Linked DNA regions of Lepisosteus oculatus. The protein of the gene in region 1 purifies or fractionates together with the protein of each later gene. This does not show direct contact. Links are inferred from orthologs where the notes say so. Each region holds a gene or a part of one and is shown in the gene's direction. Other genes may lie near its edges.

Region 1 (11,293 bases):
CTGTGCTGGAAAAAAAAACACTTTCTGTGTGGCATTTGGTGTTCCATGCTGAAAAAGGGTGTATGACTATTCATCTGATATTGTGTTTTAGTGTGGAGGCAAACTACTATTTATTTTGTCGGTTATATGTATATCACCACTAATAAACCTGTAGGTTTTCTTTTAATATTTTTTTTTGTTTTAACCACCTCATGCCACAGCTTTATCATGCTCGGCCTGATTTGGAATCGTGCTTTAACTCTGTTCTGTACACCTGCTGTGTGTCAGGAGCTGCTGGGGGAACCACGAGTGCTAGTGCACCCAGCCAGTCTGGGAAAGAGCAGGTCTGGAGCACGTTGATCAAAGAAAGACAACCGTGGCCTTGGAATACAACACAGAGTTCAGGGGACAAGGACTCCCAGGACATTCACTCAATTTCACCAGGGCCAGTTTTCCCAGAAGCCCTTTGCACGATGGGAGGAAATCCAAGCAAACATGAGGAGAACTTGTTGGCATTGCTGTCCGGTAGTGCTGGGGCCCTGGGTTCAATTCCGGCCCTGGGATGCTATATGTGTGGAGTTCGTATGTTCTCCCTATTTTTACATGGGCGCTACGGTGTGATTGGTTAATTGGCTTTTGGGGAAATTGACTCTGTACCCTTGTCACGCCCCGTGCTCTCCCTCGCAAACGCTGTTACATTCCCAAACCCACTGTTTCACCATCTCATTCCTAATTGAACCCCTCACATTCCCACAGGCACCAGATTCCACAAATTCTCACTCCCAGACCAATAATCCAACCACATCCCTTTCCCTTCAGTATTTACAGTTCCCTCACTCACCAACCCAGGCTCACTATCGAGAAGGTTCCCGAAGTATTCTCTTGTGTGTGTTTCTAACCATTTTGACTGATCTCCTGGTTCCAAATCTTTGCTCCTGCCTTTTTGACCATGCTCTTTGGATTTTGTTTTTCGGATTGTCTTTCTCGGATTTCCCTGGTTACCGGACTCATTGCTTCTCCAATTGACCAAGCCCCCTGGATTACGTGTTTTGGATTGTCCCTGTGCTACTCCACATTCTGCAGGATTCCTGGTTACGCATGAGGATCCTCCCATTTTACTTACTGGTTCCCTGACAGAACTCACAAACATCCCACAGATAACACCCCACGTCTGGAATTGACTGGAAAGACCCAGTGCTAGGAGGCTGTGGTGTTAACCACTGTGCCACCATGCTGTTCATATAATCAATATTCTACCCACTTATTTGAGTCAGCTATGGAAATTTAAGTTTTTTAGCACTTCATCCGGACTAGCCTTTACATGGATTTATTGTCAGAGATACATACTTCTAACGTCCTAAAAGAGAACATTATTTCTCCCCCCAGAAATGGGGTTTTACTGACATTAATATCAGAAAGGGTCACTTTGGTTACCTTTCAGCTGTTAAAGATAAATAGCATGCATAAGAATGTGGTGCACCTCAGTTTATTCCTCAGATTAGTTTTGATTTAGCAATTCAGTTTAAATGCATATTGCCGTCCATTTAGTTCCTTAAGTGTCTGACATTCTCAATGTTAACAATGTTAATTAAAATAAGCCTCCAGTGCATTTTCTTTCAATTTTTATTTTCGCTCTGGTATGACTCTCAGCTGACAGTTAAGAAAAAAATTTGGCTTTGCGAATTTGCACAAAGATGTACTTGACATTTGGTGTGCAATAGGAGACCATACCCATGTAATATATCTGCATTCCCTGTATCTTCATAAACACAGCATGACATAAGGATTAAGAGGTCTGGGAGATGTTTCTTTTTAATAAAGCAATGCAATAAACAAAATTCAGTCAAAGGTCTACCGCGTTCTGCACAGTAAGGCAACAAATTCCTGCCCCATTGCAATCAGGTGAACATGAGGAATATCAGAAGAGTTTTTTAGGAACAACAGGCTCATTATTGAGAAACTATTAATCTGTTGTGATTTTCCTTTAGAAACACATATTCACCCATAGAGACTGGAATGCTAATTTGAAGCAAAAACTCTAAAGTTTATGAGGTGTTTCTTGTGTAGTGTAGTACAATGTTAGATGGACTCCAAAGTACTGTACTTGTGTTCCAGCATAACTCACAGATGCCAGATGTTAGTCAATCAAAACTTTAAGAGGTTACACAGAACAGGAGGCCAACTTTTTCTGTTTTATTATACATCTACCCAATGTGGAATCACTATTGGGTTTAGGACTCAATGTTCTGGCAATGACTGAGGAATGAGCTCAAAACAGGTTGACAAGCCCCTCTGATACAGCCAGCTGCAGGGCCATTCTGGGATGGCATCTCAGGCTGGCAGGACAGTTAGTGCCAGTTAAGGTAGTGGTGCATCTCACCTCTACAACCCTGCCAGCGCCCAGGAAGTCACAGGAGGTACTGGAGAGCCCACAGAGCTCTGGCTGACTCATCCCAGCCCTTCGACCAGCACTGGCCAGGGCTTCAAGTCGGAGAGCTCGGACAAAAAACTGAAATAAATGATTGTGGTTATTAAAAAAGAAAATGTCCCGTCCGGGATATATCCCGCCTTGCGCCAGGATCTATCCTAACTGGGATAACCTCTGGCTCCTCCGGGACCCTGAATTGGACAAAGTTTTCTAAAGAAAAACAGTGTGACATAACAGTGAGAAAAGAGTACATACATTAGGTGTAAACTATACTATGTGAATCAATAATCAGCGGCTTGGTTTCAGTGGCTATCTTAAACATTTACTGGCTCGGTAAACAAGCGACTAGCATCATGTGTATCCTATGACTGTGTTTTTGGTGACTCCTTAATGTCTTTGTATTGGAGCATACATGCAAAAAAGCATACATGTAAATTGCACTTGTGCGTATGACAAATAAACTGAACTGATGTCTTCTCCCTGTCTTTCCAGAAGAGGAACATGATAAATAACAGATGTTATTGAAGGTAAGCTTTCCTAAGCCCTGTTATAAATAGCGCCTAGGTGATGCTCAGCTTACCTTTATCCTTTATTGCCCTTAACGTACTCCTGAGAGAAATACAGAGTCTGCAGGTGTTCGGGAGATAAAGCAATCACTTCTCGTTTTGAAGTTTGCCACTTGTATGTCTGTGCAGGGAAAACAAGCCCAGGGCTGCCAGGTGCCTTCAGAAAGTGTGACACACTTTCATCCTAACAAGTTTTCTATAGTCCTTAAGCATTTTTATTTAACTCAACGTTTTTTTTCACTCCGGAACCACATGTGCATCCCTACTTTCATGGCTGGCCATCACAAGGTGTTAGAAACAGTTGGTCACGACAAAGAAGATAGGACCCTATGTGGTGCTAGTCGAAGGCTGATGAGAGAAAAAAAATAAAGTGGAGCAAAAGCCTGGTTTACTCAGCCAAGTCGCGTAGCCAATAATCATGGTCGGAAGCAAGCGTGGGTCAAGTAGCATGAGTTTCACGAGACAATAGGATTCTTAAGCGTTGAAGTTTTGAGAAGGTAGCTCGTGAGGTTTAACTCAGTACTAAGCTGGGAGTGCAGGTGAGAGGTGGATCTGTGGCTAAGGATCTGCGCCTGTGGCTGGAAGGTTGCTGGTTCAACTCCTGCAGCCCCTGAGCAAGGCCCTTAACCCCAGCTGCTGCAGGGGTGCTGTACAATGGCTGACCCTGAGCTCTGACCCCAAGCTTCTCTCCCTGTCTGTGTCTCATGGAGAGCAAGCTGGGGTATGCGAAAAGATGAATTCCTAATGCAAAGAAATTATATATGGCTAATTAGCTTATCTTAATTAGTGGATGTCAGGAGGCGTGGTGCAGGACGAGGGACGTGGTTGGGTAATTAGGTTGTGTGTCAGCATTTGTGGGAAGTAGGCTGGGCTTGTGTCTGATTAGTGAGATCAGTGTTTCAGGTGCTGGCCGTGCTGTCCAGTCGGGATAACTGGTGCTATCAGTTCCTTGCTGGTAACATAGGTACCCCTATGGCGTGAGGTCTCCCCTCACAATGGGACAATGGGTAATCTCCCCAGGCTAGAAAACATCACCTTGTACCTGCTGGCTTGGGAAGGACCAGATGAGAATGAAGACCTCCCCAAGCCAGCAGGTACATGGTGGTGTTTACAACCCCTGCTGTATCCTATTGGAAGAGTCCTAGACAAGAACGGGATATGGCAAATTAATTGAAGACAGGTTCGGTGCTTTATTCTTTTTTCTTCTGCATTGTGGCTGATTTTAGCCATGTTTATGAAACACAATGTTGCACAAATATCCACTTATTCTTTGACCGCCTTTTCCCCATTATCAATCACACTGTTTTTCTTGTATTAAATACAGCAATGCAATACTCTTTCTCAGCAGGATCAGCATTTTCATCAACAGCAGCTCTTCTTAATCAGCTTCTGGATGAAGACCTCTCCGAAGCTCGTGCCTTTGGCGCATTATACGATGATGGCACCCAAAGACTTCCTCGTTTCACCTTCCCATCTTCTCTGAGGTCACTCGGTTGGTCATCTCTTGTCTCCTGGGCTCTGTTTCAGAATCTCCATGATCCAGCATTGATCTGTTCTTCCTCCTGTCATTCCTTTGTCTGTCCCACACTGCTGCCTGTTGCCAGCAAACATCGTTCTGCAGTGCTTTTATGTTGCTTACAGTTTATAATAATAATAATAATAATAATAATAATAATAATAATAAACTTTATGTTATATGGCACCTTTAGCGGTGCCTTCTCAGTGCTTTACAGGATGACAACAACAATAAATAAGAAGAATACACAAGATAAAACACAATTACAATATATAGAGGAGACCGTGGATGGTGGTACTAAGAAGACCAGAGGGGTGAAGAATGGAACCAGTTCAGTAAAGGCTTTTCTGAAGAAGAGGGTTTTGAGTCTGGATTTGAAGGAGGTTAGAGAAGGTGACTCTCTGATATCCTTGGGGAGAGAGTTCCAGAGCTTGGGGGCATAACAGGAGAAGGCCCTGTCACCCATACAATGTAGACGGGCTTGGGGGACAGTAAGGAGAGCAGACTTAGAAGAGCGAAGGTTGCGAGGTGGGGAGTAGGATGATAAAAGTTCAGACAGGTACTGAGGTGCAAAGCCATGCAGAGCCTTATAGGTGAGCATAAGGATTTTTGAATCATTTTTATCTTCACATCTGGATGTGACAGTAAGAGGACTTTAGCAATGTTGAGCCTGTTATGCAGTAGAAGATGATGTCATCCCCTTGAAGCCTAAACAGTGTACACCTCTCCAGCGGCTGGAGGACGTAGTGTTTAGCTGTAGAGTATTTTGCCCCCATCTAGGGACCGGCGCTGTGTCTTCTGATCCCAAGACCAAGGCTGTGCTTGAATTACATCAGGGACTGAGCTGCACAAGGTCTGGTCAATGATTGAACGTACTTTTTAACCACAAGTTTTGTCTTTCGAAATGATCTGTATTATTACTGCTCTATGGTTCAGCAGGACAGGTACTAACTGAATTACTCAACAACCTAAAGACTGAGAGCTGAGAGACCCAGTCGCTAACTTAGCTGAGTTTCTCCACGCTATCTGAAGCTTTCTGTTTTGGTTACAGTGCTTAGATGTGATAGACAAAGGTTAACTGTTTATACCCAGGGGCTCTTCAATATTTCAAGCTGTGTTGCAGATTGTTTGCCCATTGAAGATCAGTCACAGGATCCTAATCCACCATGACAGTGTTCTCACTGCATGGCAGAGTATGCATTTTTTCTTGCCAGGTTGTCACTTTAATTGCACCCATTACACTAATGCAAGTTATAACAGAACATCCTAGTAAGGATCATTGAGAATAACTGAAATATTATCCCATAAAAGCTTATGAGAACATTTTCTCTCACTTTACATTCATCAGTTTAGCAGTGTATTCTAAATTTAATGTTAGCGCGGACAGTGATGCGGATTTCTATACTGTTTATGTTCAATTTATGCTCGTCCTGTTTAAATGTGGATTCTTCTGAATCATTTGCAGTTTACTTACTCCAAGAATCCCAGGAAATATCTACGGTCTTGATGAGCAGTTGTAATCAATGCTGACCAGTGTGGAATAACCTTAAAGGAGAATATAAGATGATAGCATATATAATGAATATTTGTACGTAATATATGTACAGTAGTACATTATGAATGTGTCATATTCACAATATAACATATTATGAATACAACATATTACTAAATTGTTTGAGCGAGTGAGACCTGTGTTTTGCTTAAAATTGCCACCTGACGTCACTCGCGCTGCACGTTTATTTAGTGATAAATATAATACTGGAGCTTTATCCTTCACTTGCACAGTCATGTGGACCGCGGTACGAGACAAGCGTGCCACAAACAGCAGGCGCTGTCACACGTGCTCTCCGGACACACGTGAAAACTGTAAGCTAGGGGCTAAGCACACGTATCCCAAGGAAGTTCATCTCTAAGAACGTTATTCGGGAAAAAAAATACATATATATTTTAAGATATAAATATTAAAACTAACCCCAAAACATGGCAAAAAATACGTTCAAATATAATTTCGTGTGCTTGAATACTAACAAATTCAAATATTGCACACAGGGTTAAAAAAAATCAAAACATTCAATGTCCGAACGGTCTTCACCGAACATGGGAAAAAGCGAAGGGGGTACGTAAATTCTTTACACTTTAAATGACAAAACAGTTTAGTACGCTAAGACAACCAGTTCCGATTATGTCGTCTAATAATTCAAATAATTAACTGCACCAAAAAATAGATTTATATACTGCGCATAACAAAACAATACGTAAATGTTTTGTAAGTACGACACCCCCATGACTAAACAGTGGACTCGTCCTTATATGAGACTTCTAGGAATTATGTGGGGGGGACACTGAACAAAAGGTTATTGATAAACTTTAACTTGTGCGAGGCTGGAATATAATTATATATTTTTTTCTTCTTAATTTAACGAAGTATTTATATTCTAGAACGGCATGCTGCTATTGTTATTAGTAGTGAACGTGGTAAAACTGTACAACACTAGACCTCCCTCGTCACGAGGAGTGGTACGGTCCACCCCTTCATTCAAAGGTTTGGATGTTTATTTAGTTCAAACAGTTTGGAGATAGGGAAACGGTTGGAGCTGCAAATCGTGATTTTGGCACAGGAAAAGCGGGGTTCGACCCAAAAACCAAGTTCTGGTCTCAAAAGGCACGTCAAGCCCCGCGTAGCTCACCTAATTTTCTTCCCCCGGAAATAAAGTGATGAGGAGAGGAAAACCGAATTTCCCCGCACGTTCGTTTTCAACGACAAGAGACCCATGGATACAGGTGACGGGGGGAGGAGAAGGACAAACAGCGTGCGAGCCTGCCGGAGGAGCGGGGCTCGCAATGCGAAGCTGAAAAGGGAGGTGGGCAAAGTTTCGCCGGGGCAGAGCCGGGGCGATGAGGTCCCGATGGAGGAAGGCTCGGCCCCCGACGGCGTCGCCAAGGGCGAGAAGCCGCCGCCGCCGCCGCCGCGGCGGGTGCTGGGGCCGCGCTACAGCCTCCTGCGGGAGGTCGGCAGGGGCAGCTACGGGGTGGTGTACGAGGCCGTGGCGCGGCGGTCGGGCGCCAGGGTGGCCGTGAAGAAGCTGCGCTGCGACGCCCCCGAGAACGTGGAGCTGGCCCTGGCCGAGTTCTGGGCCCTGGCGAGCCTGGAGCGGCGGCACGAAAATGTGGTGCAGCTGGAGGAGTGCGTCCTGCAGCGGAACGGCATGGCCCAGAAAATGAGCCACGGCAACAAGCGGTCGGAGCAGTACCTGCGCCTGGTGGAGACGTCGCTCAAAGGTACCGGGTTTACCCCCACCTCGCAGTAAAATTACCCCGGCGCTACACCTCTGTGGGTCAGCTGCAACCCCCCAGGTCGTTCAGTCGAAGTGCGTTGCTCGATTCGGGTTTCAGATCTCAAGCAATGCATGTGTTACCGTATTCCGTGTAACAACATCCTGGGGTCTACGGGGTTAAGTGAGCGATTTTATTCTCCACACCAGCGGAATCGCTGGAATTTATTTCCCAGTTTCGGTCCAGATGCGTCTTAAGCTGCCCCCCCCCCCAGCAATCGCAGAACTGAGCTGAAGTTTTCGAGGCACGAAGTTCACGTGTGTGGCGGTGATGGCGGGGAGGGGGGGGAGTTTAAACTGGTCTTGGCAGGACGCGACTCGAGTCGGCCGAAACGGTGCGCAGGAGGGGACGACTCGCTCTCTCCCCCCCCGTCCTGAAACGCAGTTCCCCATTCGGGGTTCGCTAGCGGCCGGGACAAAGGCTTCTTCCCGGACAGCCGCGCAGTCAGAGCGGCCGTTCGCCCGGCGTGCAGCGGGAGTGTGCGGGTTCCGTTTTTGCGGGGGGCCTCGGAGTTATGCAGGTTTTCGGCCTGTGTTTTTTTTGGGGGGGGGTGGTTTTCGTGAGTGTCGGGCAGCAGATCGCACCGACTGGAAACGCATCGCCCGCGCTGATGCGGCCCCTGGCCTCCCTTTCTGCGTGATGTAACTGGGGCCTGATCACTTCTCTGGAGATGAAATATTAACGCCGGGCATGAACATGTGGGCGCTCCGAGCTCGGGAGCTGGGACCAGGTGACCGTGATTTCACGTCCCTTCTCAAATGTACAGTTTTCACCTCGGAAACAGGCCATAGGCTACATGAATCGAAACTGATTATCTTCTTTTACTTAAGACCTTGTTAATTAACGGCTTGTCATTTCCTATGTGTTTCAGATTACTGGCCTTTTCAGAAAGGAGCCTGCTCTGAGGGAATAAACCCTTTCCTTTTGTGTTTTACAGTTTAGAACAAACAGGTTTGGTTTGTTTTTCCTTTCACGACTGGGAATACGGTCTCTTCCTTGAGATGTCAGGGCACTTGACATTATTTATTATTTACTGGACAAAATATTTACATTATTTGAAACTTAAAAATAAACAGAGTTTCACGACAGGAAGTTGATTCCAGTTGTCAATGTGACCAATTGCCAACCTGCTCAGCTCTCGGTAAGCAGAATACAGCTGGGTGGCCTCTATGGAAAATCAGGTTACTGCTGTGAGAGGTGTTGGCAGTTCAGGTAGTGTAAATGTACTTTTCCCTCTAGTACAGTATTTCTAACACAGAAAGCCCCAGTATGGTGAAGGAGGACACTGTGTTGTAGAAGTTGCCTTCCTTCAGACCAGGTGAGAATTCTTGGCCCTGGTGTTCTTGGTCATTAACGATCCCGGGCTTGTTTGTAAAAGCAGGGGTGTGTGATCTCTGGTGTCCTAGCTGAATTCTGCCCTGGGATGAAGATCGCACCTCCCTAATGTTCCTCATGAGTTCAGTAGATTTCATTTTCTCCTGATCTAGTAGTGGCCCAGACGTGTCCCGTGCTTCAGCAGTGGAGGTAGTGGCTCCTGTTGGTTCCCCTTTAATTCTGATATTGCCAGACATGCAGTGGGGCTGCTGTGTTCCCCCACAATTTTGATTGTGCAGCGAGACCCCTTGCTGGTGTTGCCTTTTGTGTTGGACCAACCCCCCTCCCCTTGAAAGTCCATGCTAGGTAATGTGAAATCTTGGATGCGTTATCAAGCTTAGATCTTGAGGTGCTGACTTTTTTTTTTTTTAAAGCCTAGAAGTGATTAAGACTTTGGAGTGCCAGTTTTCCGTTTCTCTGGTCATGACAGTGTTTATCACTGACTCGGTTTGCAGGTAGCTGCTGTTGTTGTTTTGGTGTCCGTTTGTGTGACAGCTCAAGTTTGTGGGATCTGTTCTGCCTCTTCATTGGTCTGTGGTGGAAATGGAGGGCCATGGAGATCTGTGCCCCCTGTATTGTTTTTTTTTTAGGGTTGTCCAGAAATTAATGCCCCTTGTTTTTAAAGTGACAGGGTGTTCTGTTGTGGAAGACTGAAATTTGCCGTTCCAGAGTTCTGAAATATTCCCATAGTCTCTTTCTCAAAAGCATTTTTTTCCAAATGTGGAGAGTTACTTTTTGTTTCCAGTGATGATCAACTCCAGACTTCCAAGATTTGGTCAGTTGTCTATTTTTTCTTCCTTAGACCATTGAGATTTGTGTGGAAAAAAGGGCTACCTGTCAGTCAGGCTTATGGCTCTTCTTCACCATTGCTGCCATTAAAGTTGCTCTGCTCAAAGGTCACTTGAACAAAACGGGTCTTGTTTTGCGATGCCAGTTACATTTCCTTCTTTAAGGGCCAGTGGGAGTTCCCAGTTCAATTCGCAGTGTGGGCTTCTCTAAAGCCTGTAATGTGCCAGCAGTGTGGGCATGCGTGTGCTCTGGGTAAGTGGTATCAATTGGGCAAGTGGCAGGTAATGCAGAAGAAGTTCAAGTAGGGAAGTTTTGCCTATGGCCGCAAAAGAACAAGTAAAGGTTTATTCTATGCTGAAAAGGGAGGAAAGGAAACTCAGTGTTTCAGCTGTGGAGCCTTTTTTGGGTGTGTGACTAAGTTAATCCAGAAGGCCAGCTCTAGACCCAAGAGAATAGCCTAAATCACAGTTTTCACATTATTCACAGGGATTATTATGCAGCCCAATAAGTAGTGGTATAACAAGGTGGGGTGGGAAATGGTAGCCAATAGAAAGGTAATATTAGAAATAGAATAATGGAAAAGGTAAGATTTGGTTAACCAGTAATGGTTGCACTCTCGACTTAAATCGCAGTAAAACATTGTAGGACAATACTTCAGTTGAAATATTGTGCAGTGCTAAATGTGAACTATGGGTGTCAAAGTAGGTAGGGTGTAGGCATCACTCACTAAATCCCGTCTTTAAAGATTGAATATTGGATTCAGCAACCTGTTCAAGTTCTGGATGTTGGTCCCGACAAAGATGCATTTTTTTTCCTGAAGCCTCCCCATTTCCTCCAGTGCTGAACTGGCTACAAACAGGTCCGATCTGCCATCTTCCAAGGCATACTGTCAAGATTTCATTCATTCATTACAAAATGCCTATAGCCAGATTGAGCATCTTGGTTCCCATCAAAAAACAAACTGTAGTTAACCACATGAACAGAAGCATTGACCATTAGCCTGGCACTAGGGTAAGGTTTTAGAGGGTGGAAACATTCATTAGTTCACGTTTTGTGATTGCTATAGCGAGTGAATAGTGAATAGCTCACTTCTTCCCTGCTGGACCTTGTCAGAGTTGATCAGGCCTCTGCCTTCCCTCTAATTTCAGACAGGTAGGCAGGCTGTGTGGCTCAGCCAGGATTGTGTGCTGAGCACAGCCTCAGGCCTTGGACAGAAGTGTGATTGCAGATGTCAGTGCCTGTGCCTCAGTGTTTCAGCAAAGTACTTTCGTCTTTTGTTGCATAACACACATTTGACACTTGATGACA
Region 2 (11,174 bases), on another chromosome or scaffold:
CTTGGTAGTTCTTCCATAATGCCAGGACAATAATGATTTACATTCACAGCTGTATTAAATCATGTCATTATCTAGACAATGATGAATTTCACATACTGTACAGTATGTATAGTAAGGGGCATTAAAGGCACAATAAATGCTGTTGGTTCCAATACTCATCTTTTGCATTTTTACTGCCTCTCAGCATTATATATGTATATACATCTCTTGAGGACTGTGGCACCACTGTAAATCCATTTACTTTTTTATTTGTAACAAATTTGTCTTTACACTACCCTATGATAATACACACATTTTTAATATGCACATTTAATCTTAAATATATATAAGAAAGAGACTGACCAAGTTGTCCTTTCGCTGTAAAACAGTATACGTCTGGGGGCCAAAACTAATTTGAGGTTGGTTAACAATGAATTATGATTGGCTCAACTGCAGCCTGCCACTCAAGTGTCCAACCAAACTGGCACACTGCCATTTCCTGCCCAGTCTTGCTGGTTATCTGAGAACAAATGTTTATTTCTTAATCAAAACATGTCATTGTTGTTAGCTGTTGATTTTGACACACAGAAACTGTGTTCTGTTAGCCCCGAACTTTTTTTATAAATAAAGGATCAGCACTTCCTTCAGTATCCAGTGAATATACTGTATTTCCACTCATCCTTCTGAAGCGGATAATTAGTAATCACTTTCTGTTTTATTGATTAAACAGTGAATGTGCCAAACTGTGTTTTGTTAAATGTTGAGAGGAGGAAAAGAAAACAGGTTCTCAGATATGTCGCGTGGAGTAATTTTATTTTTAAGCTGCTCTGCTCAGTGAGTGCCTAAACCTAGGCCAAATTGTATTAGTAATATTTTAGGAGTAAAAATCGTTTATGGATTGTTTGTATTTTCCCCATGTGATTAAGTTGTTAAGCATTCAGTTTAGAATGTATTCCACTAGAAGCTTGTTTTCACGTTACATCCACATAGTCGTTAAATCTGAACCTAAGTTTGAGTTTTCCTCCAACTTACTTTCTGAAAAACTTATTTAAAAAACGTAAAACACTTGGCTTTTGTATTGGGTGCATGTTTTTTTTTAATGGACCACGACTGCCATTTTAAAATCAAACTGTCAATGTAAATTAAAATTTGGACAAGTCCATGAAGTCTGAAAGAAACATAAGCAGTTCATTCAGAGTCTGAAAACCAAATCAAATCTCCAAGAGAAAACAGTTGTCCGTATTTAAAAATATGTATTTTTAAATATTATAAAGACGAAAGTTCAGGATATTGTAGGAGAACGTTTTTGTTCCTATGGGCTCACAGAGGGATACTGTACCGTGACACCCCTGACAGCAATTACAAACTAAGAAAAGACGTGAATGAATTACTCGGCTTTTTAACGATGTAAAACTGGCATAAGGTTGTGATCAGATGTTTAAAAGATCAAGTGTCATTTAATTCACACATTCTTCCCAGACTGAGCCTCCTTAGTTAAAACTGTCAACACCTAAGCTGAGTTGCACGTCGCATACAGTACATAAATAAATCTTATCCAGTAAAAATTCAGTGAAGTCTCAGGCGGAGCCCGGTAAAAGGAATACAACTATACGTTCATTCAGGGCAGTACAATCTTTTTGGCGCATATCAAGTCCTTATTTTGCACTGTATCCCACATTCTAAGCAGATCTGTGGGGCTCATCTTATGGATCACTAGAAGGTTTTTGTAGAAACATGGGTCGTTGTTCATGGGACTGATTTTGCGCTTCATAATCCCAAAAGTCTTGAAACCGGGATGAAGTTCTGGGGCGACACCTATTTTCTGCAAGCACATGCCCAGAAATACATCATCGATGGGATAAAGCTCCAGTTTCTCAGAGACGATAAAGAGTCTCCGAGCTAATTCAGGAGACATTAAAAAGCCCCCACCCCCCACGTACGGGGGGTACGGTTTGTCGTAAAGGTCTCTGGGAATAAAGTACTTACTCTGACGGTTCCTAATGGGAATAGCTTTGGAAATGGTGTCCCCTACAAACAAATTTCGCACTTTCCCTTCTTCTGTCTTAAAATCAATCAGTTGCAGTAGATTGTTCGTGTTCACAAAGACGTCGTCGTCCCCTTTAAATATGAACTGCACCCCGGGGCAGTACATGTTAAACCATTTCAGGAAATTCACCTCTTTGAGGGTGAGGTTGAAAAAGGTGTCCATGAAATCCCACTGTAGGATGTCTCCGTATATCCTGTCCTCATACTGGATGAGCTTTTGGAGGTTCTTCGTGTCCTTGCCGGTGGAAGGGCTGCCCAGCAAAAACAGAGTCTTGATTCTCTTCCCACCGGTTACCTGCTCTCTGCCCCACGTCCTGCGGACCGCCTCCCTCCTGTCGTGCTGTTCAATCACCGATTTGACCACCATCAATAAGTGCACGTCTCCGCTCCGGCACGTTTCTGGGTGGTTTATCAGCATTGGGAAATACCTGCAGTGTCTGTACAGGACGAACTGGTGAAATCTCGGGTCCAGGCGTTTGAACCAGTCTTTATTCTTCACGTCGGGATTCTCGCTGCAGTTGATAGCAGTCACATCCCAAACCTTACGCGTCACGTTGGAAAATGGGACAAGATGACCCGCTTCCGAATTCTCAGGCTGTCCCAGGGGGGAATGATTGTAAGAGTCGCTTTTAAATACATTTTTATTCACCCTGGACCAACCGGCGTCCGCCCTGGTTTTCACCATTAAAGTGCCCTTAGCGGCCTCTTCCACCAGCTTGAACTTCTGGATCATTAATATCGTGGCACAGACCAAAGACAAACTCAGAAGAGTTTTCAGCGCTCTCTTCCGTCTGAAAAAATACTCCATTATCTTCAGCATACAAAGGTGTAGTAGCTGCAAAGGCAAACCTGGTTTAAATAAAAATCCGCTTTTTTCATTGTGCAATTAGCGGCCCCGTCGTCTGGTCGTGCTGTTTTAAATTCCGCAGTCTGTAATAGAAACGGTCAATTGCTGCCACACTTGTAGTGAGCTGCGGGGAACGCATGATCCCCGAAACTGAAATCTTTCCGTGGAAGAAACCTGTGTGCACAGTCATTGATATCCCGCTTGAAATTTGTCTACTTTCTGCGGATGCCTACTGGCGAGGAATACCAATGTCTTCCAGAAGTTACTCCGGCGCGGCTCGCGTGTCTGTCTTTCGCTTTCCCCGTTGTTTGAAGAGCATTTATTGCCTTCTTTTCACACGGAAGGTCCGACTGTTCCCTAGCGTTTTCATTTGTGCTTTGTTTCAACGTCCGCTGCGTCTGCTAATTACTTCTCCGCTACTTTTTTTTTGTCATAGCCTCCCCAACCCACACCTCCTCTCCGAGCAACTAAAGGACAGCCAAGTCTCTCGTTTCACCTTAGAGGGCGAAGTCAAAACCGCCTACAACCGCACCCCGCGAAGTTTCTGTCGTAGCAATATTGAAATACGCGTTCCCCTTCATAACTCATTGAAAAGCGGCTCATAAATTGTGGCTTTAATACAGTATACAGAAAATAAGAAAGGTTACAAACGATAAGATACCATTTGGCCAATCTTTCCAGTTTGCTTCCGTGCAGTTTATTGGTCTGGTCATCTCATTCAACAGTTTATTAAAGGAAGCAAGAGTAGTACCATGGTAGTCTGTTCCAGACACTAACGACTCTTTGTGTACACACAGGTGTTTAAAGATTAGTGGTTTCAGATGTTACTGCCGTTCATGCGGATTTCTTTCTGTACATGAATTTATTATTTTTTTATTATTAAATGCTGGTTTAAACATTGCATACCAAATCTTAATTTTGCTTGCGAGTTTGCAGAATTACAATTTTATTATATTGTCTTTATATATATATTGCTGATACATACAGTAATTTATCAAAAAATAAATAACCCAGTATTCACACACACAAACCAAAACACTGCAGGTGAGACCGTCTGTTTCGTGAAATAAATTAAACTACTTCAGAATCCAGTCAGATTAGCTGGATAGGATTAAATCGATAACTGATTTCAGGTTTGCTCCGTTTTCCCTCGGAGAACTCCGGTTTCTGGTTAAATTGAACAAGTTAGGCCAGTCTGACTACCTGCGCGCTCACGACTACCTCCAGAAGACAGCAGAGCATCAATCAATCAAGATTTATTTATCAATGCACGAACAGTAGAGCATACAGCAGTGTTGTCGGCAATGGCATGCTTTATCCGCATCGATTCCTTCATCAGCACCAGCACCAGTGTGAACGTGCGTTTTTTCCAGTGACCATGAATTACGACTCCTTTTGGAAAACTATGAGGAGATAAAAGCTGTTATACTGTAAATGCTGCAAAAGCCGGGGACGTCGCCTAACACCGTATCGCCGATACAGAAGTTAATAATGAAATATCTCAAGATATGACACAACTATCACCATGGCGAGAGCATGCATATATTATCTTTACTTAACGTTTATCATTATGTTATTGAAGTGGAGCCCCCTTTTAAACTATCACGGCACAATATTGTTTTCATGCGGCAGTAATTGCAGTATTTTATGCATGGAACTGGACCGCAATGGAAAAACAAAATACAAGAATATCATCCAAAGTGGTATGTGGTTTTCTTTAGAACAACTGTAAAATGCTGTACACAGTGTTGTGCAACATTTGAATAAAAACGATACCTCATTTTAGCCAGCAGCAAGAATCATGAGCAGAAGATGACTGAACGTTAATAGTGAAGATATTGGTAATAATGAATGAAGATAATCAACCCAATAAAGAATTATTCCTTTATTGGGTTTTTGTCTTTTTACCAACGTTTTTTTATCTGAATCGATTAGTAGAGGTGAGACTCCCACCACCATATTGATGAAAGTCTCAAGCCAAGTAAAATGTGGCCTAAATATAATCGGAAGAAAAAATTAACCCAGACATAATTAGAGAGAATATATCCTAAAACAATGGCCACCGTTTAACTAGACATGGCCTGTCTGGGGCTGCCCTCAGAGCACTAAGACAATCACATCTTGACTTGAGGATCCCAAATGTCATCTCAATGTGGGCTCTTGTCTTTACTAGGTTCTGGATCAGGGAAGGGGTCAATTAGATGTTGGAGCTGCCATAATCCCTATCCCCAGAAAGAAGCCAGTCAAACTGACTGGAAGCACTGATCGATGGAACTACATGCAATATCTTCACAGCACAGTGTACCTCAGACCAATGGCTGCTTGTGTTCAATACCTTGCTTAAATTTAAAGCGCAATGTGGACTATCTGAATATTCGAGTCTACATGTTGCTGATTCGACACCGTACATCATGGATCATCGAATATCATAGGAAACATGGTGATAATGGACTTTTTGTGTAATCAATTCATATTTTTTAGGCTATAATTTTTTTTTCCACCAGTACATTGATGTCGTGAATTGATTTTCTTTTAACAAAATCGGTCTCCTTCGACCCGGTGGGGCTTTTAATGTCTGTGCAGTTCAGAGCACCTGTTACATTAGAAAATCCTGCATGCAAATATATACAGTAGATCGCGGGACTTATGTACAGGAAACAAAAAGTACAAGTAGAGGGAAGCTCCTCTTTGCACGGCCCGGAATCGTTATGAATGAATATAAAGACTTGCAGTGCAACCACCACTGTCCTTATCACACGGCGCACTGTCGCTTTGCTGATGCGCTCGGAGTCGCGAACACAGTAAAAATACTGTGGCCAAGAATCTCAAGAGCTCGAGTTTCTGTAAATAATGAGTCACAACATTCGGAATATAGAGGTTTTAAAGGCTTAACCTGGTGCTGTTTGATCCCGCTTCGTGAAACCGAAAAGTCAGACTTTTGTTATTCGGTTAACTAAGTAATCTCGATTTGCGAAAGAGCCCCGAGGGCTAAACCACACAAATTCTGCTTACTGTGTATTAACGCAAATGCAGCAAGGATTGTACTTGTGCCTGATGCAAGCTAGAAAATAAGAGAAATGCACCTAGCACCACCCAGTGGCATTAAGAAGATCTACATAATAATAATAATAATAATAATAATAATAATAATAATAATAATAATAATAATAATAATAATAATAACAGCGACACATCTTGTTTTTTATGTCTTCAGCACAAAAGCCATCGTTACACGATATATTAAACACCTGCTTAGTCATACAAATAATACAAAATAAGTTCTTACACAATGAACACTACATCTCACACGCCCGTGTTGCATTTCGGCATTTAATAATCGAGTTGATAGCTGCAAAAAAAATGGAATTCTAATCTATCGGCAAAGCACACGTGTCGATTAATAAAGAACCTGTGCCTCTGGGGGAAGATGCCCCGTACTAAGCACCCCAAGACGCAGCGCACCCTTAACCCCCACAATGGCCGCCTCCGGCCCTCCCGGCGGTGGGCTGGGCTTGGCGCACAGTCGCGTCATTTGACGAGCGGCTGCTTGGAGTTTTGAAGCCGACCGGGCTTTGCTTTTGTAGAAACTTTTTTTTTGTGCGTTACCCTCCCCGGCAATACTTATTAACTTTTGCCTACCTCGGTAAAGCACTGGGAATGAGTCGAAAACAGGTAGGTTAAGCCGGAGAAACTTCCAGGGTTTCAAAAAGTGTAGGCGCGGTACATAGCGATAGACCGGCCTTTTTTAACGGAGACAACTCCCCGGCGTTCGCCAGTTTGAGACGAGAGAGCCTGGACGTGCTGTAACACTCGGGATACAAATTATATTACGATTGTAAATATTTACACCCCTCGCTTACATAATAAAAGCTTCCTGAAAAAGCAAGCTGGGGCCAAGAAAAGTTCAATTTCCCAGAAACTAGATTTCAGACCCGTGTTTCGCTTTGGAAGACGCGTTCAGGCGGTTTTGCGAGGGTAGCGAGGTCTGTGCCTGCGCTGTGTCCCCGGTTGTGTGAACTCGGGTTCCAGGTTTGTTCCGCCGGTAGGTAATGCGTTACAGCGCAGCACACTGAGATGTTCTGTAAACGAAAGGTTTCGAGCGAGAGGAGGCCCTTGAATTCTTGTCGCACGTTAGGTTGCTAGTAGTTCGGTTCATCTGATCCAACCATTTCCACAAGGATCCCAGGAAGTCTGCGCCGACAGCGTGGCTTCGCTGGAGGCTTCAGTTCTACACCCTTCCCTTTGGAAAAAAAAAACCCAGTATTGTTCTAGCAGCACCTCATTCCAAAACAATAACCGGCAGGAATGTTGTGTGTGAAGGATTATGTATCATAAGGGAGTTAGCTGTGGTAAAGAGTGGTGAGAAATTCTATTTAAAGGTAACCTTAGTCTTCCGAGAGTTAAATCTAAAAAAGTAAGGCAAATTGATCCTTAATAGATCCTTTTACATTGTAATATCTTATATCTTTTATATTCCCATATCACATATCTTTTACACATTTTATTATATTGAGAGCTATCATGAAACCATGATGAATGATGTGGTGGGCAATAATTGTGTATTGTTATGTGTGAGAACAAAGCCATAGTTCTCAGTTCTCATAGTGCTAGAACGCCAGCAGCCATATCACTCTGTAACTGGCACCCCACTGAAGCTCAGCAGGTCAGTACCTGGATGGGAGATGAATGGAAAAATTCAATTCCCCTGGAAAAAACTTAGGTTGCTGTTGGAAGGTGTTAATCGGGCCAGCAGCGCTCACCCTGCGTCTCATGTGGGTCCTAATGCCCCAGTATAGTGACGGGGACACTATACTGTTAACAGGCGCCGTCCTTTGGATGAGACGTAAAGTCTCTGTCATCACTAAAAATCTGTTTCTTCTAAAAAAGTTGTAACCCTGGCATGTCCAAATTTCCCATTGGCCCTTACCAATCATGGCCTCCAAATAATCCCCATCTATGAATTGGCTACATTACTCTGCTCTCCTCCCCACTAATAGCTGGTGTGTGGTGAGCGTTCTGGCGCACTATGGCTGCCGTCGCATCATCCAGGTGGGGCTGCACATTGGTGGTGGTGGAGGGGATCCCCATTACCTGTAAAGCACTTAGAGTGGAGTGTCCAGAAAAGTGCTATGTAAGTGTAAGCAATGAGACACACAGGCACACAGAGTGCAGGGTCAGCCATTTATACGGCGCCCCTGGAGCAGCTGGGGTTAAGGGCCTTGCTCAGGGGCCCAACGGAGTAGGATTCCTCTGCTGCCCGTGGGATTTGAACCAGCAACCTGGTGGTGGTGGTGCTATAGTTAGCATTGCAGCGCTGGGGCCCTGGGTTCAATTACAGACCTGGGGTGTTATCTGTATGGAGTTTGTTTTTCCTTTGTTCGCTTGGGTTTCCTCCCACAGTCCAGAGACATGCTGATAGGTTAATTGGCTTCTGTGACACTTGGTCCTGGTGTGAGTGTGTACGTGTCTGTCTGCCCTACGGTGGACTGGCATCCCATCCAGGCTGTACCCTGTTGCTTGCCAGGATAGCCTCTGAAATGGGAGAAGAGGTTAGTAAAAGGATGGCTGTATCAGGTTTGTATCGGTGTTCCTATTCCAGTTGATTTTTCCTTTTTCTTTTCCAGGGCCGGGGTAAAGTCCGGAGCTCGGAGAGACTCAAAGGAAAGAGCTCCCATGCTTCACTCAGCACAGCAGTGGAAAGTTCAGTTCAGGTCAGTCACAGTAATAATAATAATAATAATAATAATAATAAACAGTCAACTACATTTTATACAGAAACCTTTAAAAGTAGGTTCTCATAACACTTTACAGAAAAGGTAAAAGAAAACAGTTAACACGTATAACCACAAGGGATTAAAAAATGCAGTAGAAGATGCCAGGAGCAAAGACACCAACTAAATAAAAGCCTTTCTGAAGAAGTTTTTGAGTCTGGATTTTGTGCCTAGGGTAGGTGACTCTCTGATATCCTTGTAGATAGAATTCCAGAGGTCTGGACCATATAGGTGAGCATGAGGATGTTGAATTTGACATAAAACCTGATAGGAAGCCAGTGCAGGGACTCCAGGAAAGGAGTAATGTGATCACTTGCACAAGACCTGTTAAGGATTCTGTTTGGATTTAGATACCCTAGCGAATGGAGCGTTGCAGTAATCAATTCTAGTTAAGACAAATGTATTAACTAGCTTTTCTGCTACAGACAGAGAATATAGGACATAGTCCGGTGATGTTCCTGACATGTTTTTACAATATATTGTACATGTGTTCAAATGCCAAGCCGGAATGAAATATCACGCCCAAATTCTTCAATTTAGATTGACATTCAAGTACAGTGTCATCCACAGATAGGGTTACTGCATTGGCTTTACATAGTTGATGAGAGGTGCTTAGAAGCATGAGTTAATCTTGTGGCAGTTCAGATGAAGGAAGTTTTGAGTCATGGAGTTTTTTATGTTAGAGATGCAATTAGAGAGCATAGAAACAGCTGCTACAGTGTCAAGTTTAGTATGGATGTAGACCTGAGAGTCATCAACTTTGAAGTGATAATTCAGACCATGTGATTTTAATAACTGACCAAGTGGGAACATGGAAATGCTGAATAGCAGAGGGCCCAGTATCAAGCTATGAGGAACACCAGTCTTAATGGCCCAACTTCAGAACTAAAACCCCTAAGACAGATAAATGTCAGTGATCAGTAAGGTAAAAGTCATGTCAGAAACAGTGTCAAGGTGGGAGAGTGAGATGTCATGATTTAGGAGAATAAGGATAGATAGAGAAGCGGAATCGGAGGCCCAGAGGTGATAAGAAGATTATTAGTAACTTTGAAAAGGGCTGTTTCACCCCGTTCAGGGTTGCAGGGAAGCTGGAGTCTGTTCTGTCAAGCAACAATCAAAATCAGGGTCCTCACATTTCATGAAAGACTTACATTTTTACAGGCTCCCTTGAAGAAGACTGAATCCCATCGTTCTGTCAAACGGCAGAAATGTGAAGTGCCTGAACCGCAGCCAGAAACGTCGGCAGATGTCCCCGAAGACGTCGGTGGCCTGTCGGGAGGAACAGCCCAGGAGCAGGGCGTCAATGGGAGTTCTGCAAGGGAGCTCGGCACAGCGAGAGGCACACAGAGCCATCTCCCCGAGGCAGAGGAGATGAGCGCCACAGGAGCCAGCGAGTGCCGGACTTTGGAGTCTGAATCCGGTGTTGCGATGAACTCGAGTGCGGAGAGAGCAGTTGATAATTGTGTGCCAAAGCTGGAGCTCCAAATGGACAACAGTGTTTTCCTGGACGAGGACAGTAACCAGCCAATGCCAGTGGGCCAGTTCTTTGGGAATATAGAACTTGTACAGGTACCTTATCTGCTTGTGGTAGGGGTGGTGGAATGGTATTGTTATGGAAATAGGCCTTTTGTTTGATTACGTCCCATCCTGGGTAATGAATGACTTCAAACCTTGAAGTGCAGAACATTTTAGAGCAGAATTTCTCCCGCAGATACAAGCCTGGTTGAAGAACACACTTATCACAAATTAGTCATGAGAAACTGGTTTAGTAAGTTACAGATTTAAGAGAAACAGACTTGCACGTCATAGTTTAGGACTGGAAACATGACCACCTCTTTATGGAAAGAGAAAATCGCAGGACTTCTTGGTTACATACTCTGCAGATGTGCATGGCTGTGTCCAAAACAACTTGTGAGCAGGGCTCTGGCCACCAAACCGGAAGGCTGTGTAGTCATGTCCCTAGGTGATGTAGCCTTGAGTGAAGAACAAGGTGTCACATTGACTCTGCCCAGCTTTTAAAACGAGTAGCAGTGTCAATGGGAGTGATCTTGCAGGGGACTAGCATAGCCGCCGATCTGGGAACACTCAGAACTGTTTGCCTTGTACCCCAGAAGCCAGGATAAACTTAAACCTGATTAGCCACCAGATCAGCGCGCATAGCTTGAAGGTTTTATGATAATATGGTTTTGTTCTGCAGGACGATCCTCCCAGAGCTCCAGCAACAGTCCCAATGAGCCGGAGGGAGTACAGGAGGCTACACTTCATTGCTAAAGACGACGAGGATGACCTCTACGAAGACAGCCACGTGGAACAGCCTCAGCAGAATGGTATTTGCTTTACGTTGTCTTTGGGGACTCAGTGTTGCAAATCCCAATCACTTTGACAATCGCTTTTCCTGGAAAACCTCAGTTCACCAAGACATCGCCTTGAATCATGTACTGGCAGTTACATGAAGCAGCCCAGCTGAGCAGTTTCTCAGTCCATTCTGCTGTTTAATAGACTTTTTTAAATTAAGAGACTTTAGTGAGGTC
Region 3 (10,517 bases), on another chromosome or scaffold:
ACCTCCAGCAGCAAACTGAAATCAAATAGCCAGCAATTAAGATGGCTGGGGCAAACAGACCGCCCAGAAGAATACCAGGACCAGGGCTGGCTGCCACCACTGCAGACCAGAGAATGATTGTTTAAAAACAGAACGGTTGTCTACAATTGTATGCAAAGATGATTATATTAAAAGTAGGTTTGGGTGTTGTACCCAGTTACGGCAGTAGATTGCTCAAATGTTGATCTTGGTGGTCTATTGGACATCTCCTGGGGTGGGATGATATCTTTCATGCATCATGACCTCATCAGATACTTACAGTATTCAAAGGATCCTTTTGGCTTTGCCCATGAAGACCTTATCTGGAGATTCACTGCATATTAAAGTCCAGCCGTCCTGTTACAATGGTTACTCAACTGAATTATGGTCTACAGCCGTCTTTGTGACCAATCTTTACGATGATGCTGCAATGTTGGAGAGAGGACAAGCACGACTTTTTGATCTTTCCTTGAATGTTTTCATGCAGGCTCTAGTGCCGTCTATAGGAAAAGGTGGGGCGAGGAAAGCTCAGCTCCTTAATGAGACAACATTAACCCTCTAACCTGATGGAAAGGAAAATTGGCGGTAGATAAAAATAAAACCTATACAGCCTTCATATATACATCTTCACACTTCATGGTACAAATGCTGTATGCTTAAAATACTCGGATTTAGTAGTCATGTTTCACCATGCTAAATGATTAAAATTGGACCTCATATAGTATTTATTGCAGTTGATGTTTTCTTGATATGTTTATGTAACCAATGCACCCCTGTGTATAAGGGGGATCTCAGCCGCCTGGGCTGAGGAAGGTCTCCTTTAGCTTAGCTGGCAAGTTCCCTGTTGCGTAACGCTGGAGACTCGGGTTCGCGCCCAGGCATCGAGGGGACGAACTGGCAGGGCAGGAGTGGCAAGGGTGGAGACCCCAAGAACCGTTGCAGTTAGCTGCGCGGAGCTGAGGCATTGCTGGCAGTGCTCTGCTCCGTCTCCCCAGCAGAAGGACTTGGGTGCCTGCACAGCAGTGCAGCACAGCCACATCTGTGTGAAAAGACTCTGGACCCAAGCACACAGCACTTGGGGGCTCGGTCCGTTATTCCGATATCCAGGTTCCATGGATGTAACAGTGGGCGTGGGAGTTCAATCCAATTATTTTTATTTCCTGAAACATTTAAAAATTCTAGAAGGCGCTTCCCAAGGGAAGAGAGAGGTGTGTAGAGTATGTAGCTCAGAGACGTGCACAATAGGAGGAGGCGGCAGCCCCTGACACACAATGCTTATAGTGGTGGATTGAAGTTTGTTTTTTTGCAAATAGGTCCACAACGTTCTCCAGCTGAGTGACAGCCCCCGGTCCACGATAATTAAGGGTAATACGAGACGTTTGTGGATCGGCGGTTCCCTGTGCTCTTGTGTCCTCATCCTCTCTAAAATCCACAGGGTGTGGGTTGGGGAGCAGCGAGTGGGGCTCTGGACTCATGGGTGGAAGGTGGTGGGTTCAAATCCCAGGTGGGAAAAGGAACAGGTAAAGGTTTATTCTATGCTGAAAAGGGAAGAAAGGAAACACAACGTTTCAGCTGTGGAGCCTTCTTCGGGTTTCCAGGTGGGAAAATGCTGTTGTGCCCAATTCACCCTTATTACTCCAGTAAAATATTCAGTTGTATACATGGGAACATACTGTATGTGAGTCGCTTTGGGGGAAAAAAGCATCACCCATATTAGTAGTTAGTAATTGTCATAGGTGTAGATACTATCGTGTGTCCGATCTGCAGGATACTTCGTAATGGATTATGTAACCTAAGCGATGTTAAGGTACTAGGACTTCTGCTACAGGTGCAATCTCCCAGAACCGCCAGTGTCCCCATAAACCCGGACAAGACGTTAGTAACAGATAAGTGCTCTTTTTATTTCTCTGCCATCTATAGCATATGAACTGCCTTCGTCATAAGATAAGACAAGAAACAAAACACTAAATAACGCCTCGACTGGAGACCGAAGTCTCCATTTTTTGCGCCGTTTGTTATTTTAAATCCCGTTAATATTGTGACCAAGCCGGTTATGGATGTCTTTGGTTTTAAATTGATCCCTTCAGTTCGTAGCAGGGGAGTCAGAAAGATAACGAAGGATTACCCGGCGACAGTGTACAGAAAGATATATTTTTCTTTTTGTTAAGGAATGTGTACACAAAAGAGTAAGACATTCCACCAAATATCTTTAAGCTCTCTAATACACGACTTGGGTTCCGAAGCACTCATCCCTGATACCACCAGCTGTATCTTTCATAATACATCGCCATGACAACCATTTGCATGTTTTCAAAATCCCGGCGAATTTCCACCCCAGTGCCTGTTTTTGCCATTGTGAACACATGCGCGCGCTTCAGCTAGCGGCTTCGCCAGAAAGCCGTCGAGCAGCGCCGTCACAGTCCCAGGTGGAAACTTCTCATCTGCTTTTCTTATTGAAACACACGAATGTTTTTTTTTTTTAAATGCATGCATATCACCGCAAGAGCGCAGTTCTGTTTCCTTTCAAAATACGGAGCCGCAGCCGCTGTTTTTAAAATGGAAGGGCAGCAAACACGTTTAGGAACAAAAAATAATCATTCTGATCGGCTATATTTTGTGGTGTCTCAGAGAGATCTGGCTTTCGTTTGGGGCTGTAAGGTACTGCCCTCGCGTTCCTACTTATCCATTCTCATCCTATTAGTTTCTGGAATTAACAGCTTTCTGATACCGAGCTGCCTCGTCCAGGTAATCGCAGATTTTCGGAACGCGAAAGTAAGGTGTCAGCGAGAATGTGACGGCGTGTTCTTTTTGGGAACTACAAATGATCATACAAACAACTCCGAGACACTAACGGGCCTGAGTGAGATGTCTAGGCCAAAGGGGACCCTGCCCACTGGAAAAAAAATCCACATTGTATTTAAAAAGGGCAAACGCGTTCTCTCTACTTTTGTGGACCAACGAGGAACGTCCTAGCTATTGAACCACGCACGTTATATTTGGGGGACATACAAAGTTGACAGTCATCCACCCACCAGTGCACCGAAATGCCGTACAGATTGAAAATGGCCCCCGAAACAAATTTTGTCATTATTTAAATTAGTCAAATTTAAGATAAGGTAGTTTAGAACGCAGCGTCCTTCACACTGTGGGGAAGTCTCACTACTGTCTGTAGGTCCGGAATGACTATCTTGCATAGTGTCCCCACGTACACAGTCATAGCCCTCACCCCACGCACAAACGGAATAAAACGCAAGCACGAACACGAATGCACTGTGAGTCATCCGTATCACTGCACTAAATACAGGGCTGTGTGTCGCCTGGAACAAGCGGTCTTTTCTAGCCCCGGTCTGTGCCCAGGGAAAACGGCACATCTTCGTTATTGAACGTTAATAGCAAGACCTCCGGGCGCGTTTTACTGAGCTACGAGTGGACGCGTCTTTGTTCAGTCTGCACTGGGGTGGCTGATCGGAAACTCTTCGACCGCTGCCTTCCTATCACAGCATCAGTGAACGCGGCTTTTTGAAGGCAGCTGCATGTGTGTGTGCTGAGGAGGGGCCAGCGTGTGGCACTGCATTTTTACATTTGCATATTTACTTTAGGCTTTGAAATATCTGAGGCCCAGTTGTGAGAATTCCTGGGGCGCCACATACTGCTTTAATGCAAATTTAATTTGACAGCTGTTTATCCGGCTAGGTAATACTCAAGGTGCGTCTCCCCCGTGCGGCCGCACAGTGATAGGCGCGGCAGTAATAACTCGTCACAGTCATAAGCCGTTGCTTTTTAAAGGTGCGAGTGGGGGACAAACCCCACGCTCCGGGTGGCGGTGCTCCGCCTTACATCCCTCGCGTGAGACAGCCCGGTCGATTCTGGCAGGACCCGCGCGAGCCTGCTCGTGCTGTTCTATTGTCTTTTACCTGCCGCGCACTTCGATGCTAATGACGATTAAAAGCCCGGCGAGTCCGTCTGCCTCTCCGGAGGAAAGGCATCCCTCCGCGCGGAGCTCCCTCGGCGTGCCGGAGACGGCCAGCTTCATGTGTGTCATCTTAACATACAAGCATGTTCTCTCAAAGGTGACCAGTGCCATTTCACACACGAGACAGACGGAATTAGCATGAGATCGCGGAGGTACACATTCATCCCTTACAAATCATTTGAATTTTAAACCAATTCACTACACGGGAAAGTGATTATACTGGTGCTCTACTGGAGGAAATGTCGGATTTTTCGTTTTTAGCAAGAAACTCGGTGTCGCGTTTAACCCGACAATTGGATATTAACGGATATTAACCAGCTGACCTCATGCTGGTCCAGGTCAGAAATGCAGATATTCCGAGCGAGCTGTAGTAACGCATTTTTACTCTAGTGATTACTGCACGATTGTTCCCATCGGAGTGCCAAATTCCTATGCCGCCGAGCCACGGCAGCTTTTCTTGTTCACGAATAACTTGTCAAAAAACGTGGGGCTTCTCATGGGGGAATAAACATAATTTTCTTAGCCGTGGAGCCCACGTTGTCTAGTGAGGAATCTTCGGAGGGGATTTGACCAGCGTAATTTAGCATCTGAAGCTCGCGTTCGCGGCTTTGCGAAGGTGTCATTTTGTAACCTTCGTTAACTTTACACGTGTGATACAGAAAAGCTAGCGCTCCTTTACCGGCTTGATGAATGTAATATAGCGCCGGCAGGTGTATCCGAACGTGTTCTCAACAAGCTGATGCGTTATTCACATCTCAGCGTTTCGATGTCGAATTCAACCAGAACTCAAAGGCATGAGCACAGATCGCTATGCGCGGGGTCTCTGTGGGATTTCGGGAGGATGTTCGGGACACGGCAGTGCTTCCTTGAAGGGTCTGAGCAATGCGTCCCTGCCTGTGTCCCCATACACCTACGAGTCGTGTACGTGCCTCCGGGCTGTGGGATTCTTTCAGTTCCCAGTTCAATTCTCCTCCAGGAATGGGGGGTGATCTCCCAGCGAATATTAAATCTTACACGTCAATCGGCACTTTTTAATCGTGTCCGAAGACTCACGTTCCTGCCTGTAATTCTGTAGCCTGTAATTCTAATTTGATGTTTAAAATTGTATATACCCGTCATTTGTTGTTGGTTTTGTTTTTTGCTTGATTGTACAGTGTCTTTTCGGGTTTTTTTTTAAAACGAGCAGAAAGTCCAGTTGAAAGGGATTAAATACCCCGGGATCTATACAAATAAAAAGATGATAAAATTATGACAACAAAATGCTGATTTAATGAGCGATATGAAGCAGCAGAAGGGCACGGCGCTGTGGAGACGGCGGCAGCACACGCGTGTCGCCACCTGTGACGACGGGCTCGCTGGGTGGCGCTGCGGAGTTTGTTTGTGTTCAAAGTGGCGGGGAGGGGAGGAGCGCAGGTCGGCCTGTGCTTGCGCCTGCGCAGCGGGGACACGGCTCATCCGGGTCTCTGCCATTGAGAGTGTCGGTGCTGCGGGTCGGTAAGGAGGCGGGAAATGGCGACTGGAGGAGCAGCGCAGGAGCGGAGAGATTGTCCCTAAACACAGCGAGTCCGAGACGGCCACAGGCAGCAGGCAGCTCTCGCTGCGCCGAGTAGCAGCCAGGCACAGACAGCCACGTCGGGAACGACACACTCCGACACCTGGCAAGTGAGTGGGGCGCTATTCCCGCGGCTTTCCGGGGGGTTTGTGTGTCTGTAAATAAATATTGACTCTTCTGTCGTGCTGCACACCGAGGCGCTGTGTTTTTAAATCTCGGCTTCTTCTGCCTACCGGGGGATTTCAAACATGACATTTTCCGGGCAGCACAGATCAACTAGGCAGACCGAGGTATTTTTTTCCCCTTTGTTTTGCTTTCTTATAAATTGCATCAGCACCGCTACCTGGTTGTTTCCTTCCACTTTAGTTCATCTACCTTAAGTGGTGCCTTTTTATGTATTTTTTTTTGCCTTGCTGCGAACAAGTTGCTTCTACCTGGGGGCTAAATTACTCATTAATGTGTAGTTGAAGACTTTGTTTGGGGGAGTCGGTCTTGAAAGAGAAACAGGTAGTGGCGCTACGGCAGCGCTGGAGCCAAAGTCATGCCTCAATTTAAACGCTTGCTCGGGTGAGTGGGAAAACGGAGCGCTTTTTTTGTGTTAGGCCTTGGCCTCGTCTCCCATCTCCCGCCCCGGGCTTGATTATGAAGCCCTACCGATTTCCCCTTCCCCTTTCCCGCCCACTTCTCTGGCAGGGAGGGGGGGTTCTCGCGTGTGCCTTTTACCAACACAATAAACCCCCCGAAAAAAAAAAACCGTTTACTCTCCGAAAAAACGCCCATGTGTTTGCGATGTAGTGCTCTCGCCAGTGCACGGCTGAAGTTTGAAGCTCTGCAGCCGGGAGAAAGTGCGGCTTTGTTTGTTGTCACTGGAGTTGCCTGGGCTCGGATTCACAGGTTTCATTCCTCGAGCTGCGGCTCGGGGGGCGTTGCTCGCGCGCGGCGCGGTGCTCCTTCTCGCTCCGCTCGGCGCCGTCTCAGCTCGCGCTCGTGTTTACCAGCGGGGCTGCGTTTGCGACAGGAGAGCACGTTAACTTTATTTTTTCTTTAAAAAAAATGCATCGCGAGGGAAAGTTTAATACTGTTTTGTAGCTTTACCAAGCTCCTGCACATTGTGGGAGAATACGATTTACTTGACCGTCGGTGCACTTCGGCAGTTTTTCTAACGAGTCTGAGTATTTCCAGTCGCCGTGGACAGAGGAAATAAGCGTCTTGAGTGCTTTTTTTTAACGGCGTCCTTTTACAATTTCTCTAAACCCTGATACACGTTTCTAATTTTTTTTCCTGTCATGTGCGGTAGGCATTTTAAAGTTACCAGTATTTTTAAATCCCCGTGTTACAAATCCTAAAAACAGTATTTTAAGTTTTATTTGGAAAGGTTTTCGCAAGTGTTGGAAATCGCGCAGCGCGTTGAGTGTCATGTCATCTAGCGATATCCTTTCTTTCCGAATTATTTTGTACTACTAACACTTCACACTTGCAGAGAGATTTATAGCCTGTCATTTTCCTCCCAGGAGTCGCCAGCAGCAGCTGTAGGACATGTTCGTAGTTTTTCTATCTTAAGGAGAGAGCCGATTGCCTTTGAAGTGTCCGTACCTGATCGGAACATGTCACAACCGGTGAATGAACTAGAACTGCCGTTACCTAAGTCGTACAACAGTGTACGTTTGCATGGTGCCTTTCAAGGTGAAGGTTTTGTAGCCTGGCTTGTCTCGCTCAGCAATGAAGTGGAATGTGGACTTCTGTAAGGTAAAGCGCGGCTTTCAAGCCTGCTGCATTCGGTAATGATCCCCCGCCTGCGTCACAGTGACATTCCTCTGCTACAGTCGTGCAGTAGGGATACATCAAGTCTCTTCTGAGACTGGGGGACGGTGGGGATGGAGGGTTTGACTGAGCCTTTTTGACGCGTCAAGAGTTCAGTGTCCTTCCATGTGCTCTGAGATTGGTCAAAGTTGCCGGCACAATTCTGTGATTTTTGCCTGGGCATGTTGGAGCCAGTCGTTTTGTAGCTCACACGCGCTCTGTCACACGAGAGTTTTACAGCTGGGTAGTTTAATCTTCGTCCCCGTTTAAAAAAAAGTGGGATTCTTCCCGTGGTTTGCTTTGAAAATTTCTCATTTTTTCATAATGCCTGAAAATGTATGCAGGCATTATAAAGGAACAAATTAATAATAGGAATATAAATACCACTGCAGCGGGACGAACAAACATTTTGTTGTGCTTGCTTAGAAAACAGCTTGCTGCAGTTTCGCATAACAAGATTTCTCCTGTTGGTGAACCCACTGACATTAATAGCTGCTGTGGCATATACACTGTTGATAGAGATGTGACTAATTCTCTGAACAGACTCAATAGATAGCCAGCAATTCTGAGTGAAGGTCCCCCTGTGTTTTAGTGGTGTTGACCTTTCTTCAGCATAATGCCGGTTCCCAGGGATGTGTTTAAGTGGTGCCTGAAAAGCAGATCTGAAAGTTAAATTGCTGGAGATGCAAATTGCTGAACTACAGGTGATTGAGCAACAATGTTTCCATATAAAAAAGCAGGTGTAAAGTATTTTAGAAATAATCTCAAATCGCATTAGCTTAGTACACAAAAGCACATTCTCGGAGTCCTTCATTAACACTAACAATTTAACTGATTCGATTGTTACACTAACTGTACCCATATTTTGGGAGTTTCTTGGGGGGACCTCAAACCTTTACTGAAGCACAGTGGGCATTTGAATGACCAAGTTGTTCTGATGAATTGGTTTCATTAGATTATCCCTTGTCTTAAAAAAAACAAAACCATTCTCAGATTATCCAGCTCTTTTCTTTTTGGCGATTCAGCAACTGTGCCATGTGTAGGATAGGGTGTCCTGTGTGGGTAAGCATGGAGATGCCATTGGTGGTGTTGCCGTGTGCTGGTGTGATGCCAGTGGCGGTGTTGCCGTGTGCTGGTGTGATGCCAGTGTGTGGTGTTGCCGTGTGCTGGTGTGATGCCAGTGGTGGTGTTGCCGTGTGCTGGTGTGATGCCAGTGGTGGTGTTGCCGTGTGCTGGTGTGATGCCAGTGGTGGTGTTGCCGTGTGCTGGTGTGATGCCAGTGGTGGTGTTGCCGTGTGCTGGTGTGATGCCAGTGTGTGGTGTTGCCGTGTGCTGGTGTGATGCCAGTGTGTGGTGTTGCCGTGTGCTGGTGTGATGCCAGTGTGTGGTGTTGCCGTGTGCTGGTGTGATGCCAGTGTGTGGTGTTGCCGTGTGCTGGTGTGATGCCAGTGTGCGGGCTGTGCCAGCTCTGCCTGGGTCTGCCCTGCTGTGGTGGCCTGGTTAGCTGGCAGCTTGCTCTGCAGGCTGTAAGGTAGGAACATGTCCCGTCATCTTTGTACCAGAGCTTAGCTGCACATGAACATTACTGAGCTTTCAACTTTACTGCACATGGGAATAGGACAGAGGTTGTTTTTTTTACTGGCTTGAAGGACATGGTTTTGTTTTATTCGGGGAGTAAAGGCAGCTGTTTCAGCTGAATGCCTTATTCATTTTTCCTTACTCTTCTGAACCTGCCTCCTAGATGGTTAAATGATTTGTAATATATGCAACTGGAGTGAAATGTATTTGTGTGAATTCTGAAGCATTTTAGAGTGATTTTGTGACAGTGCAACTCATAATGCAACTACAACTACAAATACATGCAAATAGCTTTAGTCTTAAGAGGAAATTTTTCTTCACATATCTTGAATCTCCTTTAACTGTTAGTATCATTGTTGTGCACTAACATAAATGTATATAGTATGAAGGGGAAGTAGGGGGAAAGTGGCATCCTCACTCGTTTTTAGTAACATTTCTCCTTAATTAGCCTCAGGGGAGAAATGCAGAAGACGTGGAAGTAGTGCTATTCCTTGGATGGAATGATATTGGGGGGTGGATGTCTTCTGTGCATTTATAACATCTGTTTTTCATTTAAAAAACATCAAGTGTACAGTTACTAGTGAAAGATGAACTGACTGTCTGGTTCAATTTATGTAGAATACTTAAACTTTTCATGCCTTTTTTTTTCTTTTAATGAAAACGAAAGTGGCAAAGATGTTGCTCGTGCTTTTGGCAGCGCTGCGCTGAAAACTGCAGATGAGTCATGCTTTGTGTTGGTAAAAATAGGCAGGGAGACTCGAGAAGCAACAAAGCTGTTTCTGCTGCAGCCAGATCTGGAGCATGCTTACTGCATGAGCTGAAAGATGACAGATGCTTGCGTTGTTTCTGGCTGCATTTTATTCCAGTGTTTCAGATCGGGATGCAGCATCAGCCGAGTCGTGGGCAGGGCTATTCCCTTGTCCTGGCCAGGCCTGTCAGTGCTCCTGACTCGTTGATTCCCCCATCACCCCTGGCTTCTCCATTGTTCATACTTCAGCTGGCAGCACTGTGCCTTGGGCTGTCATTCCTGAGTGTGACAAAGCCATAAGGATATCGCAGTCTCCAGCCAACATGTAATCAGGTCTGAGATGTATACCGCTCCATTGTACGTCTAACAGGCGTCTGTGATTTCTGTTTGAGACTGTAGTAGAAAGCAGGTATCTACAGTGGTAGCTTGATGTGCACTCTCTGTTACATATTATTTTTCTGTCATGAATTAAGCAATTTAAAACCAAACTTTCTTAGTCTCTAGTCACTGTAGGAGTTGTTGCTTGATGGCCAGGCGGCAGAGAAGAATTCTGTTCGGTAATCAATTAATAAGACCTACGGCTGAGTTAGTGAGGTAATGGAGGGGATAATGATTCTGTATCGGGAGCTTTGTAATGTATTGGCTGGACATGGGTTTGACTGGCAATTTAACACGTGTGTAGGCCTCGTCTACACTGGAGGTGTTTCATCTGGTTTTGCTTTAGGATTGTTGTAGATAAAACAATGCATGCTGACTTTGCTATGCTCCTTGTAATCTGGTGTTTTGCTGGGCTGGATTCAATAAAGATGTTCCTTGCGCCAAGAAACTGAGAATAGGCAGTGTATCAG

What was found.
Region 2: the proteins of stk35 (region 1) and c25h1orf174 purify together in Homo sapiens (affinity purification with mass spectrometry; 3 studies listed by BioGRID and IntAct, counting the BioPlex papers as one, with this or other methods). This does not show direct contact. The link is inferred for Lepisosteus oculatus from reciprocal best matches to the Homo sapiens genes STK35 and C1orf174.
Region 3: the proteins of stk35 (region 1) and ctdspl2b purify together in Homo sapiens (affinity purification with mass spectrometry; 3 studies listed by BioGRID and IntAct, counting the BioPlex papers as one, with this or other methods). This does not show direct contact. The link is inferred for Lepisosteus oculatus from reciprocal best matches to the Homo sapiens genes STK35 and CTDSPL2.

The regions. Positions count from the first base shown.
Region 1 is NC_090711.1:13,098,006-13,109,298, forward strand, and holds the start of stk35 (serine/threonine-protein kinase 35), read left to right. Parts: upstream 1-7,047; 5' UTR 7,048-7,260; coding exon 7,261-7,768; intron 7,769-11,293.
Region 2 is NC_090720.1:3,839,668-3,850,841, reverse strand, and holds the start of c25h1orf174 (UPF0688 protein C1orf174 homolog), read left to right. Parts: upstream 1-6,397; 5' UTR 6,398-6,529; coding exon 6,530-6,544; intron 6,545-8,496; coding exon 8,497-8,583; intron 8,584-9,804; coding exon 9,805-10,212; intron 10,213-10,840; coding exon 10,841-10,970; intron 10,971-11,174. Other genes in the region: b3gnt7l (UDP-GlcNAc:betaGal beta-1,3-N-acetylglucosaminyltransferase 7, like), read right to left, coding at 1,598-2,845.
Region 3 is NC_090700.1:47,154,919-47,165,435, forward strand, and holds the start of ctdspl2b (CTD small phosphatase-like protein 2-B), read left to right. Parts: upstream 1-5,375; 5' UTR 5,376-5,649; exon of another isoform or gene 5,650-5,653; intron 5,654-5,725; exon of another isoform or gene 5,726-5,833; intron 5,834-10,517. UniProt on the Homo sapiens protein: Probable phosphatase.